4 linked regions of the Mus musculus genome follow. The protein of the gene in region 4 purifies or fractionates together with the protein of the main gene of each other region. This does not show direct contact. Links are inferred from orthologs where the notes say so. Each region holds a gene or a part of one and is shown on either strand. Other genes may lie near its edges.

The links.
Region 1: the proteins of Arid4b (region 4) and Sin3a purify together in Homo sapiens (affinity purification with mass spectrometry; 5 studies listed by BioGRID, with this or other methods). This does not show direct contact. The link is inferred for Mus musculus from reciprocal best matches to the Homo sapiens genes ARID4B and SIN3A.
Region 2: the proteins of Arid4b (region 4) and Suds3 purify together in Homo sapiens (affinity purification with western blotting; 3 studies listed by BioGRID, with this or other methods). This does not show direct contact. The link is inferred for Mus musculus from reciprocal best matches to the Homo sapiens genes ARID4B and SUDS3.
Region 3: the proteins of Arid4b (region 4) and Sap130 fractionate together in Homo sapiens (co-fractionation; 4 studies listed by BioGRID, with this or other methods). This does not show direct contact. The link is inferred for Mus musculus from reciprocal best matches to the Homo sapiens genes ARID4B and SAP130.

What each region holds. Positions count from the first base shown.
Region 1 is NC_000075.6:57,075,092-57,079,240, reverse strand, and holds the start of Sin3a (paired amphipathic helix protein Sin3a), read right to left. Parts: upstream 2,866-4,149; 5' UTR 2,611-2,865; intron 1-2,610. UniProt on the Homo sapiens protein: Acts as a transcriptional repressor. Corepressor for REST. Interacts with MXI1 to repress MYC responsive genes and antagonize MYC oncogenic activities. Also interacts with MXD1-MAX heterodimers to repress transcription by tethering SIN3A to DNA.
Region 2 is NC_000071.6:117,098,884-117,102,516, forward strand, and holds part of Suds3 (sin3 histone deacetylase corepressor complex component SDS3), read right to left. Parts: intron 1,813-3,633; coding exon 1,717-1,812; intron 656-1,716; coding exon 594-655; intron 440-593; coding exon 418-439; intron 1-417.
Region 3 is NC_000084.6:31,632,910-31,637,226, reverse strand, and holds the start of Sap130 (histone deacetylase complex subunit SAP130), read right to left. Parts: upstream 2,860-4,317; 5' UTR 2,738-2,859; intron 2,195-2,737; exon of another isoform or gene 1,728-2,194; coding exon of another isoform or gene 1,674-1,727; intron 1,246-1,673; coding exon of another isoform or gene 1,240-1,245; coding exon 1,128-1,239; intron 1-1,127. UniProt on the Homo sapiens protein: Acts as a transcriptional repressor. May function in the assembly and/or enzymatic activity of the mSin3A corepressor complex or in mediating interactions between the complex and other regulatory complexes.
Region 4 is NC_000079.6:14,062,199-14,066,594, reverse strand, and holds the start of Arid4b (AT-rich interactive domain-containing protein 4B), read right to left. Parts: upstream 2,812-4,396; 5' UTR 2,563-2,811; intron 2,553-2,562; exon of another isoform or gene 1,997-2,552; intron 1,771-1,996; 5' UTR 1,722-1,770; coding exon 1,716-1,721; intron 1-1,715. UniProt on the Homo sapiens protein: Acts as a transcriptional repressor. May function in the assembly and/or enzymatic activity of the Sin3A corepressor complex or in mediating interactions between the complex and other regulatory complexes.

The sequences.
Region 1 (4,149 bases), on a different chromosome or scaffold from region 4:
TGCACTGTCAAGATGGCTGTGCTTTACCAGGAATCTTGTCAAATACCAATCTCAAGTCTTAAAAAAAGAAAAAACTTCCTTATGCACACGACTTAAGGCCTGAATTTAAAAGTATTAACAGTTTATTTTTCAAAGCTGTATTTCTGTTATTTTTCACTGTGTGTATGGATGTGGGGGTGTGCACCCGTGTCTGTGTCCTAGAGGCCGGAGGTGTCAGTACTTGGAGCCTGAGATACAGGTTGACATGGTTGCTGAAAACTGAACTCAGGTTTTCTTAGAGTAATACTCACTCTTCACCACTTAGTCTGCTTAGCCTCCTAAATGCTAGTATGCAAAAATAACAAACGTATACTGATGGATAGGAGAAAAAAAACAAGCAAAAACAAGGTTCTTGAAATTTCAAAGCCTAGGACTTGTGACTCCAGTACACAACCTATTATACACATTCTATAAACATAAGAATTATGCTCAGCAGTGGTGGCACATGCCTTTAATCCTAGTGTTTGGGGGGCAGAGGCAAGCAGGTCTCTTAGTCTGAGTCCAGCCTAGACTACAGGGTGAACTCTAGGACACCCAGGGCTAAACTTTGTTTCAAAAACAAGAAAAAAAAAAAAAGGTATGAATTAAGTCATCTGATTTTCCAAACTGTACTTCAATTGGTAAAATTAACTATGGGTTGGTCAAACTTTCCTCAAAGCCAAAGAATTCTCTTCTAGCGTTTTAAGTGTACTCCATCTGTAGTACATCCAAGTCCTTATCTTTTGGGCTCCACCTCCATTCTGTTACCATGGCTGGTGTCACTTCTTTAGCTGAAAAGTGAATATTTAACCTCTTCATTAAGTACAGCACAGGGCACAGTTTTCAGCCTCTACTGAACAAAGAACAAATCCAGAATTTAGCTTCAGAAATTACACATGACTATGAGATTAGAGAGATGGCTCAGTGCAGACTGCTCCTGTAAAAGGACCTAAGTTGGGTTCCATGTCAGGTGGCTCAGAACCACCTGTTATCTCCACCTACAGGAGATCTAACATCCTATTCTGCCCCCCCCCACACACACACACTTTAACATAAATCTTTTTTAAAAGTGGTTTACACATACTCAGATATCAATACATAAATTAAGAATTCGATGTTCACTTTTCATGAAGTTCTCGAGTAAGATCATCTAATATGGTTACATGTGCAGTAAACCAACAATGGCCAAAGTAACTCTCTAACACAGGCCGGTAAGCTATGCTACACATAGGTTTCATACAGTTCAACCTACTTAGTATCTAAAAAGAGCAACATGAAGCTTTAAGGACTAGAAGTTACATAAAACCAAAAGAGAACACAAAATTCTAAGTTACCTTTGTGAAACTAAGCTTATGTAACAAAACCTTCTGTAGGTGAAATCAGTCAAGAAATCAGAGTATTTTACTTAAAGAGAGTTAAATCTTTGACTTAAAAAAAAAAAATTTAGCCTTGGGGTATAGCCTAGCGGTGAAGCAATGCTTATGTGCCCTAAACTCACTCCATCACTTACAATCATAAATTCAATACTTTCTCTAGAAATAAAATCTCAGATTTGTTAGGAGCTCAAATGGTAAACTGAGTTTAAAGTCCTAAGCTACCAAAAATGGTAGCAATTTTTAGGTATCAACCCGTAAAGGCGCAGTAGCTGAACATCAAGGGAACTCCAGGGAAGGTTGGCGCCCTCCACAATTCCAGTCCCTGATCACTCTGCCCCTCCCCCACCGGCCACTGTCGGGGAAGCAAGGGCACAGCACCAGCCGCACCCCACCGCAGACACTCCAGAGAGGACGCTGAGTATCTCGTCCCAATAATTACAACGAAGAGGAGCAGCTGACCACGCTTCTACTCTCCCTAGCTGTTAAGGCGCCATCCATGGTGTGTGAAGCAAAGTAGAAGACTACAGCTACGGGCCACGATGCCCCAAGCAGAATGGATGAAGAAGCCACAGCATAAAGTCCGGACACCTCCACCGTTCCCAGTCTACAAGGGGCCCTCCCACCCACGGGGATGCTGGGAGGAGCAGACACGGAGCCCTGACCCCCTGCCAGACGCCACAGCGGGCTTTCCCCAGCTCCTCTTCACTGCTAAGGAGGCGGAAATCCCGGAGGGGGCGGGGCGGGAGGGGCGTGGCATCACAGCCCCGGACGCGCCTTCCGGCCAACCGGATCCCGCTAAGGCGGGGGAACACAGGCTTCACGCCCCCTCGCCACCGCGCCCTGAAAGCCACACGCCGGGACCCTCTTCCCGTCCCGCACGCCCCGCGGACCCAAAGCAGTTCAGCCAGTGGTCCCGCCCATAAGGGAGAAGGGGCGGGGTCACAGCCGCGGGCCTTTAGCGCGAGCCCGTCCCGCCCCTTTCTCCACCACCGCACGCGCGCCGGCCCCGCCTCTGATCGGCGGGACTAGGACCCGCCCCTCCGTGCGCACCGGGACTACGCTCTCCTCCCCCTCCCGCACTGAGTGCGGCTCCGCTCCGCCCCCCACAGCCACGCACGGGAAGCCGAGGTCAGCCCCCCCGAAAAACACACGCCCTCCAGTCCCGGGTTACCCGCCACCCAGCTGCTGGGCGGACCGCGGTGCGGCGTGCTCTCACCGCAAAAGCTCCAGCCACTCAGCCTGTGCGTCGCTCCCGGCGTGAGCCTCGCACCCAGCACGGAGGCCCCGGAACGGCGCGGGCACAGGCCCGCAAGAGCGGACTGGCAACCTCCTTTGCGCCCACGAAGCGGTCACAGGCCTGGGTGCCCAGACTGGGAAGGAGGGAGGGAGGGAGGGAAACTCTAAGGGGGGAAGGGGAGGGGGGAAGATGGAGAAACCGTCTCTGCCGCCTCTACCGCCGCGGCCGCTTCTCTGTTACCCGGGAAATCCCGCCCACTCTCCCGGCCCGCCCCGCCGAGGGAAGGCTTAACCTCGCTCCGCCACGGGATATATTACCCATCCGTCAATGGTTTAGCCAATCACTATGCCGCAAAGACCTACTCCCGCCCTCTTCCCTCGCTGGGAGGGGAGAGCGAGCCGCTCACCTTCTCCACGCCCCTATTGGCGGGGAGAGTCCCTAACTCAACCCCGCCTATTGGAGACTGATTGCCGAATCCCTCCTCCGGGCTCTAATACTATTGGAGGAAGAGGAGTACCTCTTCACATCTCATTGGAGAGTCTCACATATCCCTCCCCATACCGCCCCAGCCACAGGCCTAACAAATCGGCTCCCGCCTCCGCCGGTCCCTGCATTGGAAGACTACCTTTGCTTCTCTCATAGCCCCAGGAAGGTAAGTAACCAATGTGGGGTAAAAATGTCCTTAAGTGAGGCCGACTCCACCCACTACACGGCTGGGCCAGGCCCCGCCCCCAATGATCTGATTGGACTATCTTGGCGCCGGTAGGAGCCGCCATTGGACACGGCGCCGGTCCAGGAAGGAGACCATTCCGCCCTGCGCGAGGATGCTGAACCTTAGCAGTCCTTTTGTGGAATGTTTACACTGGAGACTGAACCTCAGCGTTCCAAGGCCGGGATCGGAGATGGCGGGGAGCTCAGCGGCCGAAACCCGAGGCTTTGAGATTTGAAAAGGAAAAGGCAGTAGTATTACCCGCCGTGGAGAATTAACCAAAACAATGACAGAAAGCCTTGTCCTTCCTACCCACTTATTTTTACACTTTCACGGTCTTCTAAACACAGCCATCTGGAGCACTCAGCAGCTACTTTCAGCAAGCCGACTCCAAAATTAAGGTCTGGAGCTCTAATCTGATCCAAAAGCCCAGATATTACTAGCTGGTCACTAGGGCTGACTGAATACTGTGACACTGGGACAACCAGAATCTGCAGCCCTCAGGGGGCGGAGATAACCCAGCGGAGGCCTTTAAATGTCACCGCCTGGGCAAGCCTCCGGAAGGCGGAGCATGAAGGGAAAATGTATACTCTATTGGTCGGGTAGATCCAGGGACATTTTAAACTGGAGGAAGAGAGGCTGAAAACCTCACACAGACCACTGCATAAATAAACCTTGAGTGTGCACTTACGTTCACAGAAGGAGTAAAAATTCCAGATTGTGTGAAGGATATGGTCTTAAGAATGACTGTTCAAGGGGAAGGGCTGTAATCGCAACCATTCGCGAAAGGGCAGGAATAGTCTGAATTT
Region 2 (3,633 bases), on a different chromosome or scaffold from region 4:
GCCTGGGCCTCCCTAGGACCCGAGCACCACAGACAGCTACATACGCCTTGTCTCCTAACGAGGACGAGGACAGCCTGGGCCTCCCTAGGACCCGAGCACCACAGTCAGCACTGCAGGGTCTGAGCTCCAGACAAAGTTCCCCATGGTTGCATGACTGGAACTGAAAACGGTCCTGAACCTAAGGCCCACCCGACACCCACTCAGAAGGGAACCCTTCAAGAGCCAATCAAAGGTCTCCTCTATAGTAAGTCCTAAGGAAAAGACAAACAGCACAGCTGGCTTTAAAGAAACAACACGGGAGAGACATGTTTATGATTCCTGCCCTTTTCACGACTCAGCATAATTCACTCCTGGAAACCCCACCTCCACTTTTCCAATGACAGGGTACAAAGACTGGCAGTGTCATCGGGCACTCACCTGGTCTCTTGGGTGACTTAAGCTGTAGGAAGAATAACAACAAGAAAGTCTCAGAGAAAATCATCTTAGAAGCAACATAAAGCATCAGAGATGTCATGGTGACTTTAGCAGGTGACAGGAACTTACGTCACAAAACACGTGAGCCTTTCAAGTACAGCAAAAGCGTCCCACCCTACCTTGTTCAGCGTCCTCAGGTCCTCCATGATCTGCTCGTCTGTTAGCAAGTAGTTCAGCTGAGGTGCCGAGAGTTAAAGAACTCGTGGGAAATGCATGGCTTCCAAGGAGACAGAGGCACCCAGGGACCCCAGTGCTTTGGGACTGGGGAGGCCTGGGCTACAGAAAGGCTGTTTTCAAGGTAAGACCTTGCCTCTTTAAAAAACTGACTCTCATGCTAAAAGTCACCAGGCACAGACGAGAACTCCACGCACCCCTCGTACACACTGCTCTGAGGGGAAGAGATGCTGCTACTCAACAGATGTCGCAGGGGTGGGAACACAGCACAGCAAGGTGACAATCTCATCTAAGGGAGAAAAACACTGCTACTCCCAAGTTTGAAGCTTTCCAGACAGACACGGAAAGGCTACTCTCACAGTGGCTTAGATCACGCTGTGAAGGGGAGAGGCCTGGAGCAGCACCCTCTGCTGGTTGCACAGTACAGCCCACGCTGGGCAAACTGCTACACTAAATCTCCCAAAGAGAGTGCTCCACGTTGGCCCACTGGCCACGTCCGTGGCTATATAGCATCTTCCATGAACACCGGACCTACTTGTGGTACAGTTCACGACCCACTAGTGTAAAGGCAGGTGACCGGTAGACTACGCATGGCAGTACACAACCTACCAGTGTAGAGAGAAGCATACAACTGGTACACTACAGCAGTCCACAACCCAGAAGCAGATAACTGGTGGGCCAGGGCAGTCTGCAGCCCAGTACTGTAGTCAGATAACCGGTGGGCTAGGGCAGTCTGCAGCCCAAGAGGCAGAGGTGGGTACCTGGGACCACAGCAGGCAGTGCTGCCCTCAATTTACACATTTCACTGTAAGCTGCTTAAAGGGAGTGTAAGAACAAGGCTGTTTCCAAAAGAGCACCTTTCTAAGTAACCATTTTCTGGAAACCTCTCCAACGAAAAGCAATAGTTGACTCCAGTGCTGTCTGGAGTCAACCCCACCTGTAGGTAAGTATCTCACATATGCTTTCCCGACCTGGACTGCCGCTGGCTCGTGAGACTGTGACCCTGCATACACTACTACACACACTAAGCATAGGAGTTCATGACTCAAGCTTGGTACAAATGGATATCAGGAGCCGGTTTTCTCCTCTTGTCTGGAATGGGGACAGGATCGTTTGGTCGCCTCCGCAATTTTCTGGTCATGATGGGTTTCACTTCCATAGAATCTGTGGCAAGAATGGAAGGGGTGAGTCTATCCACCTGTCCCTGGAGCCAGCAGGGGTCCCTGCAGCATCAGAACATCCATCCCACAGACATCCCACTGCAGCTATGTGACCAAGCACACTTAGTCTATGCATGAGCCCAGCCACACTCCCGTGGCAGGCTGCAAGCCCTGTGCTTACCGGAGTCAGCCAGCTGAGCACCCAGTCACAGGCTAGGAGACTGAAAAGAGCCTGGGATCAGGCAGGTACCTCATGTCTGCTGCTCCCACAGAGGCTGCGTGCTGAAGACCATGGACATAGAAAGCCCTTTTTCAAGGCCACTGACCCCAGCCAAGGTTTGTATATGAAGTCTTTGCTTACACACTCCCAGTTTTCTTCTATATAACCCTTTGTAGCTACCAGAGGGCAAGACCGATACAGCAGATGGGGAACAGGGCCGCCTTTCACTCTGGACTTCTCTGGGGCTTTAGAGGACGGACTCCACACAGGGAAATGTCTCCTCCCCAGAAGCAGCCACTCAGATCTGCTCTCCCCAGGGGGATGGGCTGGCGTGGCACCTGAGTCTGAACCTGCTAAAACTAGCAAGAGCTTCAAACAACAGCTTCCTAGGAGTCTGGTCAGTGAGCCCGAGAGTTCAACTAGGGCAAGCACAAAATCAAACTCCCAGGTCTGAAGCCCAGACCCTGGAGTGTGACAACTGGAGAAGACATCTGGGCAGGACACGCCTCAGTCATGTAACCTCCAAACAGTTAACTGCCTTGCATTAGAAGCCTCCCTGGCTTCTGTGAGACAGGCACTACCTGGAGTTGCACGGGGCCTGCTGCCTCACTCACTTCCTGCCCCTCCCCAGGGGCAGTTCCAGCTTCCCTTTAGCGAATGTTAACCATAAAGCAAGCTCGCCCATCTCCCTCCTAAGCAGAATCTAAGGGAGTGAGCTAACCCCAAAGCAGAGGCAGGAACCCTGGCTGAGCAGAGGCTGGGAGACAGAGGTCACTATGAGGTTCCATCCTGATGAGGGGAGAGCCCACCGTCCTCTTGCACAGCGCTGACTATAGTTAACTAGGTAGGTAACATTGAGCATTTCAGGACAGTCTCTGGATCCTGAGATTGTCAGTGTTTCCACTAGGAAACGGCGGCTAAAGTGGGGAGACGTATCAGTTGGTGAGGGATGCGACCTAGCGGTAGAGCACTTGCCTGGCATCATGAGGCCCTGGGTTCTACCCCCAGTTCTTGAGATGAAGAACTTACTATTTGTTTAGCGACTTGGGTAAAATAACAACAATGATTTGAAGCACACACTTCATTTGAGGCTTGCAGCAGACAGAGTGCGCGAGACAGGGCCCCACAGGACACACAGCCTCATCCATCTCCAGCAGACTAGCAGGCTCACCCATGCTGTCACACGTCACAGCAGCAGGGGTGAGCACATGGAGAGGGGGCAGGGAATGAAGTCTGCATCAGGTGTTTGGAGGGCAAAGCATGCTTGGAACAAAGGGACCAAGCTCCAAGACACCCAGGTCGCCCCGGGCAAAGGGCTGACATTGAGATGGAGCCCACCCGCCCCAGGTCAGGTCACCACATCACCCCCTACCTCACCCCCCACAGATCTTTCTATGCATCTTTCCCTGACTCCTAAAGCCCCTTCCACTGGAGCATCAGGCACTGCCCGATACAGCCACACTACAACGAGCCTGTCTCATCTTTACCTCTCCTTCCTTAAACCTGGAAGGTCTGGGAACTCCCCAATACTGTCTCCAGCCAGCAACCCGACCTCCCCAACTCAGTGGAGTGGAAGGAGCCAGTCTAATGCAATTAGAACAGACT
Region 3 (4,317 bases), on a different chromosome or scaffold from region 4:
GCATAGAGTAGCTTACAGTAACAAACAAATCTGTAGTTAAAAACTAAATTAGCACGAACTAGTCAAAGCAGCAGGAATGAGCCCAAAAGCTTGCTGGTGGATAAAGCCAGCCAGGCATGGTGGGACAAAGGTGACCCCGAACTGTCTTGAGGCCAGCCTGAGCTACATTGTGAGCCAAGGTGGTGGGGTGGAGTGAGAGACAGAATACAATGACAACTAGAGACACCTCAGCCTTTAGCTTGAGCAGTGAGTGAAAAGCAGCACTTGCCACCAGGAAACAAGAAACAGATGGGGAAAAGGTGACTTCACTTCAGCTCGCAATATATACTTAATACAGAGTGGAGACAAAGTCTGAAAACTGCTCACTGGCTTTGAGAAGTCTTGGAGGGTGGAAGGGGTTTATCTAGTGCATTTAGGATGTCCAGTACTTCAGTTGTGACAATCACAACTGTCTCTAGACATTGCCAATTAGTATAGAATATCGCCCAACCCACCACTGAGAATCACAGTCTATAGCACTCAAAAGATATGCTACAAATAAAAACCAAGTATATAAATACTTTGCAACCCTTTTTCAAGGGCCGGGGCAGCAGCTCATTCAATCGTGTGCTCGTCAGCCTAGCTTCCTCAGTTCCAGTCCCAGTGAGCCACCCTGTATCAAAAACCAAGGACAGTTCCTAGGAAGCGCATTTGAGGCTGACCTCTCACCTTTCAAAGCACACATGACCTCAAAAACACACTCTTAAAAACTCTCTCTCACATACTCTGCCTCTCTTTTCCTAATCTTAAGGTCCTAAGAAGGTCCTTAGAAGCAGAACTTCTTCACATTCACTGCTGGGTTTTCTCAGGGCACCACCACCATACCTATACCCCAAGAGAGAATTAAATCTAACATACAAATACTTTTAAAAATGGTTCTTACAAGTATGGTTTACTAAAGTTGCACTTAGCCTAGCATACATAAATGATTTTTTAAAAAAGAGAGGGAAATGCCTTATTTTAAGTGTATTGACACATCCTTTCCTCAAAGTCGATAAGACAGTAATTATGAAAAGGAGTTTGCTAATTTGAAGATAGTGACATTCTTCAAACAGTAAGCAATACAAAAGAGCTGTGACTTATCTTACCTGTGGCAACTTGGTTTATCAGTCCTGCGGAACCACTGCTTGCAATCTGTGAAGGTGGCTGGCTAAGCCCAGGGGAAGGGGTTCCTAACCGAGGAAACTGCTGGGAACTCATTTCCACCTGCAAAACAAGTCAGGCCACGATTACCAGATTCTGAAATTAGAACCGACATCGAGAGATCAAAGCATCTTTAGTACCCGTGACCTCTCAGGAAAACATATGCAGCTTCATTTATTTAAAAGTTATGATCAATGGCACAGACATCTATTGAGGGTTTTTTTACATTCTAAGGCTAAATTAATAATGACAGACTTTATACAAATGTTGGAGGCTACTATAAGCTTCCAAAATACTTATGGATTAAAAAAAAAAAGAAGCATGGAATGTTATATAGCCGCCAAATGGTAGTACCATAATCATAGGCTGTGTAAAATTTTTATGGAAAATAGTATGGCTCCTTTAAATACTCAAGCCTCACACCAAGGTAAATAGAACCATAATTAGTATGTCATAATGTCCAGCCCCAAGAAAGGATTGAAAAATCTTACATTAAGACCCGATGCTTGTGGAATCCTCAAACGCTTTTCCGTAAAGGCCTCCATTTAAGGATTTCCTTTCTTCCTCATCACGGATAATCCCCCCACCCCCCAACCCGAGACACGGGTAGGATTCGAGAACCACGGTCTCTAAAATTGTCTTCCCCCTCAGGCTTCGCTTATCTCCGGTCTACCCCAGTTATCCCCATTTCCCCTCCGAGATCCCAGGACACACGTTTCCAGACACCCCGGGTGTCGAAGCTCTGTCTCCCGGAGAAAACGTCCTACGGAGTCCTCTCGGCAAGATAAGCAGTGTGCCCTTTTATATGCAGCCGCCACGAAGGGCTCGAGGGGCTCTGCAGGCACGGAGGGAACGCAATTCGGAACGCGTCCCCGGCCCGCCTCAGTTCAGCCCGCCCGCCAGCCACACTCACCCTACGGCCAGCAGCCGCTCCGCTTACCACCTCTTACCACCCAACCTACCCCTGCCTCCCCCGCCCGCTCATTGGCTAGACGCGGGGTGCGTCACTGTATCCAGCACCAATCCGCAGTTGCCTGCGCGTTCTGGGCCCGCCCCGCCCTCCCGCCGGCCGCCAGCCAATAAGACGCCAGTCTCTCTGGGGGCGGGGAGCAGTCTAAACTCCGGGGCTGGGCCAATAGAAGGGAGAGATAGGCGATCCCTGGCAAGAAGGGCGGGGATCCGGGAGGCCCCGCCCCAGCAAGGGTCTGAAAGCGGCGGGCGCAGGGCCCGGATGTGGAGAGTCACTTTAAACTGCTCCAGAAGCCAAACTCCCTAGGCCGTCCTCCTTCCCGCTGACTTCCCTGCGGAGGCCCGCGTCCGCCACGCCCCCACGCCCGGAGCTGCCCACCCCTCGGTGTTTCTTGTCCTCCTTCCCACCGATCATCCGGACCCTGCCGCAGACTTAACTGCTCTGCCTAGCTTGCTAAAGAGCTGGAATGAGGACCGCAAGAGCTGTGGCGGCTCTGTCCTTCCCCAGGGACGAGCACCAGGACTGCCTAGGCAGTCCCGCCCCCTCGACTACTCCTCTCCCTCCCGGCTCTCGTTCCGCCATTACCTGGGCGCGGCCACGCCGTCTAGAGCTTGCTCTTGTGTGCTCTCCGTCTTTAGGGCTAATGTCCTCGGGCTCCGGACCCGCAGCCGCAGCCCGGCCGCTAGCACTCTGTCCCCCACCCCTCACTCCAGCTTGGCTGCTTCCGCCGCCGTAACGAGACTTTCGCTTACTGGCTACGACAAACCCCGCCCCTCGCTCAGGCAGCCAGTCCTCGCCTGCAGGGAACAGGACAACAGTCGGTCCCGCCTCTTGGAGCCGAAGAGGCCTCTAGGAAATGTAGTCCCCAGCCCTAAGAGGGCGGGGCCTGGGCGACTGGACGCGGGCTTCACTGTTCTTCGCAGTCAAGTCTGAAGACTGTTCTGCCATTTCTTTTGGGGACTGACACGATAAAGGATTCCACGGTTTCGCTTCAGCGGGAAAGCACTCGGTTGAATTTTACCCCGGTGATGGAGGCAGTGGGACGCGTAAGGAGTAAAGGAGGATGATTGTGGCTGCCCCGAGAGCCCGCCGTATCCTCATGGAGTCTCCTCCCCTTGCTGCACGTAGGATTGGGTCTTGTCATGGAGGGATTCCTGGGGTGGCTGGACCCCGCTGGAGCCGAACACCCGCCTGGGTCGTGCTCAGTGCACACAATTGGATAAGGCAGCTCTACTCTCCCTCAAGTCTTCCGTATTACAAAGAGAGAGGTGGGGTGCTGTTTTGCCTGTAGTGGAAGTTATAGAGTTTATGTCTTTGCCAGAGATGGTGCTATACATTTTTTGACTGCTAAGAGATTACGGACCTCTCTTCCCAGAAGGTCATTTAGAACTAGAGTTTTGTGATCATAATAGATTCTTTGTAACAAGCCATACTGTTTGGGAAGAACTGACTACCAGAGTTTCAAGAGCCCCTCCTCCTTCTTGCTATTTTCTTTTCTCACGTCATCCTTTAACTCTCTGGTTTCTAAATAACTGACATACTTCAGCCTGCTCTCTATTTAGGTGATTTCTGACATTATACTTTTTGTTAATTTTTAAATTTTTTGACATTGGTGTTCACTCAATTGGCCAGACTGCCTTGAACATAATCTGTAGCCCTATCAGGCCTTGAGCTTGCATTCCCCCTGTCCCAGGCTCCAGAGTAACTGGGATTGCAGGCTTGTGCCATTGGCCCTGGCTAGTGTGCACATCTTGCTGAGTTCTGCCACGGTCTCAAACTACTCCTTTAAAGTTATTAATACAAAAATCCAAAAAACAAAAAAAAAAATTTAAATTGGGGGGAGGGATGCTGGAGAGTTGGCTCAGTGGTTAAGAGTACTGATTGCTCTTACAAAGGTCCTGAGTTCAATTCCCAGTAACCACATGGTGAGTGGCTCACAACCATCAGTCATGGCATCCGATGCCCTCTTCTGGTGTCTGAAGACAACCACAGTGTACTTATATAAATAAAATAAATTTTAAAAAATCTTAAAAAAAATAAAATAAAGTTACTAATACTCAAGGAGGTGATGAGATAGTTCAGCAAGCAAAGGTGCTTGCACACAAATATGTAATGAAAGTAAAAAACAAATCAAAAGCTGGATTGATGGTTTAGTTAAGAGTGTG
Region 4 (4,396 bases):
TTCCTGTAGACTTGTTGCCCTCCAACTCAATATGTAGACCAGGCTAGCCTCTAACCCAGGCTGTCCTTGAACTACTGATCCTCCTTCCACCAATGGGAAGTGGAAACAGTCACGCACCCTCACACCTGACTTACCTACCTACTTCCTTCCTTCCTTTTTTTCTCTTCAAAAAGAAAAGTTTTTTTTACACAGAAAATGAAAATTAAGAAAAACAAAAACATATTGACATCTTCAACTCAGTACCTCCCTTTCAGACAAACATTTACTGAGAATTTAAGATGTGCCAGACATCACAACAGGAACTAACAGATTACAACATTTATTCCAAATGTATTCAGCTTCCAAATGTATTGTGCAGTATACATTTATCAGTTAACCTAAAGCTTTCCTCCAGTCATACCCAACAACAAGACAGATATATGCTTTCCCTAAAAACTTCACTTTGCCCTAAGACACTCACTTTTCACTATTTCATACAGGTTGTACATCTGTGACAAACAAAAAGGTTCCACCTCTCATACAACACTGGTTACATTTTCATTCATATGAAAGACAGGAACTTAGAAAATAAAAGCCAAGCCTCTACAGAGCCCCAAACTCAAAAAGAGGAAAAAAAAAAAAAAAAAAAAAAAAAAAAAAAAAAAAAAAACCTTTAAAAGGGTCTAAACTGCTTTGTACAAGAGACAAACACAAAGTGGCAACAGCATTTGTAGTCTACAAACAGAAGCTTTTGAAACTGTACCTGGATGCAGTCCTACAAAAGCAATCCTCACTGGATTAATTAAAATTTAAAAAAAAATTAATTAAATTAAAAAAAAAAAAGAATCCCAAAAGAACTGTCAAAAGTAGATGTCATTTACATTCTAACACTTCAATACACACGCTTTCCAAGCATATCTGAATTTGTAGTAGATTTTAAAGAAAAATTTTCCAGTATCAAAGTTCCAACAGTTAAATCTAGATATTTTCAGATACCTAAAGCTTTTCATACCAATATGAAAAAAAAAAAAAAACTAAAACAGCTGTGATTTATTCCATCAATACACAGACTACTTCTTAGACACATTTCTTAGAAGCTATTCTGTGGTCAACATGTTTACTTCAGTACAACCTGCCCATTACACACAACATATCTTAAAAGAGTCAACTCCAAGATCAGTACACCAACAGTGAGAAAAAGAAACCATACAGAAACCTAAGTCCCTAGAAATACAAGGCACAGCAGGCCAACTCGGGTTTCTTTAGGGAAGGAGCACCAAACTGCTTTAAACATCTTCAGTATTTTGCTTTCTGCTTAAAATTTACGGTCCCGGTCACATAATCAAATGACATTTCCTTTCATCATTGAACAGAGAGAGAGACCCACTACAGTTTCAATATTCAGGTTACTAGACCAGCTTTCCGTTTTACGATTTAAGACGCTTTAATGTGTGCAGTTGTTCCTTCGGCTCCATGCAAAAGGTGCTGTTCTGTTTGGGAAACCTGAACAGCTTGGGTGAGGTTATCTCCTAACTGACTCCATAACTTCGAAACACACAGCCTGTGGATGTTCGCTCCAGCTGACCCTGTCAGGGAAAGCTCCACACCGAGCCACTCCACACACACACACACACACACACACACACACACCTGCCTCTGCAAAACTCGCAGGCCTGCTACAGCCCCGACACTTCCTGAATTCGAAAGCCACTCAAACTGGCTAAGTGACGCCTTACCTTCATGGTGACTCTGGGGCCGCGATCCCCACGGCGACACCAGCTTCACCTGCACCTGGAGGGGAAACAAAGACACCGGGTCAGCACCACCGGCACCACCACCACCCCCGCCCCAGGCCGTAGGGGCGGGGGCGGCACCGAGCGGGGCCAGGAGCCCCGAGCAGGCACGCGCCATCCCACCGCCCCTACCGCCCCCACCGCCCGCCGCCCCATTGTCGCGACTCCACGGACTTTTCCCCCGTCCTCCACGATGACGCCATTTCTGTCAGAAGAAAACTCACAACAAGCCCAGGGTCCGGCGCGGCCTGAAGCGCGGCTGCGACCGTCCAAGCCTACGGAACCGCGATGCCCGGAGCCCCCGGACTGAGCCCTCGGTGAACCGGCGGGCCCTTGGGCTGCGGAGGCTCGGCCCCACAGCGTCCGCCCGCGTCCCGCCCGAGCCAAGGCCCACAAGTGGGAGCCGGGACCGGGCACCGAGGACATCCAGCTCCCAGCACGGCGGCCCGAGGCCGCCGGGCCCACGGTGCGGCCCGGGTAGGGCGGCTCCGGCTCGGCGCGGCGGGGGGCGGGGGTCCCAGGAGGCCGAGGCCCCGCTGCGAGCGCCGACTCAGCCCCGTTGCCATCTGCCCCGATGCGCGGCCCGGCCCGGAGCTTCCCCCATAGAAAAGAATGTCCCTACCTCGGGCACAGACGAGGTCTGAGCCCTGCGGCCAGAGCCCCCTGATCCGCCTCCCCCCACCCCCAACACCAGCAGGCCTGTGGGGAGAGAGAGCGAAGGAGCTGCGGGTCCGCCGGCGGCCGGGACTCCGGCTCCGACTCCTCCTCCTCCCGTGGCGGCGACTGGTACCTTTGTTTGGCGGCCGCTCCGGCTCCCTCGCGGGGGGAGGGGGGCGACAAAAAAATCCCTCTCGGACGGAGGTCCGGGCCCCGGTCTCACAGCCCTCCAGAGGAACACGGCGGCCGACCTTCAGCGGCTCCCTCCGGGCAGAAGTCCAGGCGGTGGCCGTCGCGGCGGCAAACTGCGGCTCGAGACTCTCCCTCCGCTCCAGCGCCCGAGCTCCTCACTCCGGACTCGACTGACGGGCAAACATCGCTTTCCCCCCTCTCTGGCCCCCCTGCCCCTTCTCCCCTCCCCTCGGCCCTTTGCCCCTCCCCTACCTCTTTCCCGGATGCCTCTCAGACGACCTAGGATTGGGTAGGATTCTTTGGAGCCCGCCTCTTCCAAGTTTCTATTGGTTTGAGCGATGCAAACAACGACGCCATTTACCCACCAGTTCTATGGAAACAGAAAGTTATCCCTCAATACTTTCTGGGAATTGTAGTCCAGTCTTCTAGGCCAATCGGTAAACTGACGGACATTAGAACTACCAAGACCGCAATGCCCACTTGCCTGCGTTCGACGAGAGAGGGGAGGGGAAGGAGGCGCGGCCATGAGGCAGAGGGGAGGTGGCATACGACGCCTGCGCAGTGTGATAGGGATGGCGTATTTTCTTGCACTGAGTGCTGCGGCGTCGCTGGCCGCTGAGGAGGGCAGAGATTTCTGTGTGAAATAGTGGGAGGGCTCCAAGGAAGCCTCTTGAAGAGCCGCAGTCAGAACAATAAATTGAGAAGTCGATGTGGGCACTGCTAGTCTCGTACCGGCGGCGGCTTCAAGTCTGAGATCATCGTGGAACCGTGAGCAACAGCGCGGTGGCAGGGGGGACCCGGATGGGGAGCGGGGGAGGGGGCGGTACGGAGGAGGAAGCAGTAAGGAGGGAGAGAGGACCCGGATGCTGACCCGGCTCGGAGTGACTGCCGGCCGGGTGCTGGGATGAGGGGAGGCAGAGGAGCTCGGAAAGAGTGGAAGGGCCACCGGTGCAGCGCAGGGAAGAAGCCCGCCTGCGAGCTTATTACAGCTATGCCTGTGTGGAGCCCTTTCTTTTCCTTCAGAGCCATCGCCCCCCGGGGCTTGGAGTCAAAGGTTCTTGCTATGCGCCTAACAGCTGAGCTCGGTGACCCATATCTGTGTCGCTAGTCTCAAGCCAGAGCCGGCCTATTTTAAAAAGAGAGAGAGATACTTTGCATGAAATTTTCAATATTGTATGAATGTTTGATGCTCAGAGTTCACCCTCTGAGATGTTAGAAGTCCTCATGTGGAAAGAGGGGATGTATAACTTCCTGAACGGAAGTCTAGTCAAAATGAAACCTGATAGGAGGACCTTTGGCTTCGAGAGGTATAGAAAGGTTTTCCTGAGAGTGTGAGAACTAAGCTTGACTCAAGAAGCCAGCCAGAGTTACTAAGGGAAGTCCCTAAAGGAAAGGAAACCTGTTTCAGGAAAAAGACTTCCCAGTAGGAAGAACTGAGGCCCAGAGAGGTGAGGTAGGAATTTTGATCCAGTACCCTGGAGACTGAAACAGGATGACCCTGTCTTCAAAAAAGGAAAAAAAAAAAAATTAAAAACAGTTTTTATCTGGTCCAATGGCCCAGTGAACAATAGGATATCTTGGATTCCTAACTTGAATTGCTAAAATGATAACGCACCCAAAAGAAGAGGAAATGCTTAGCATTGTGGTGGTGACAAGTGCTAAGACCAGCCTGATCTACAGTATGAGTTCCAGGCTAGCTTAGGCCACATAGACCCTGTCTCAAGAAAAAAGTATATAGAGGACAATTAGAGAGGCAGCTACAATTGCATTTCTAC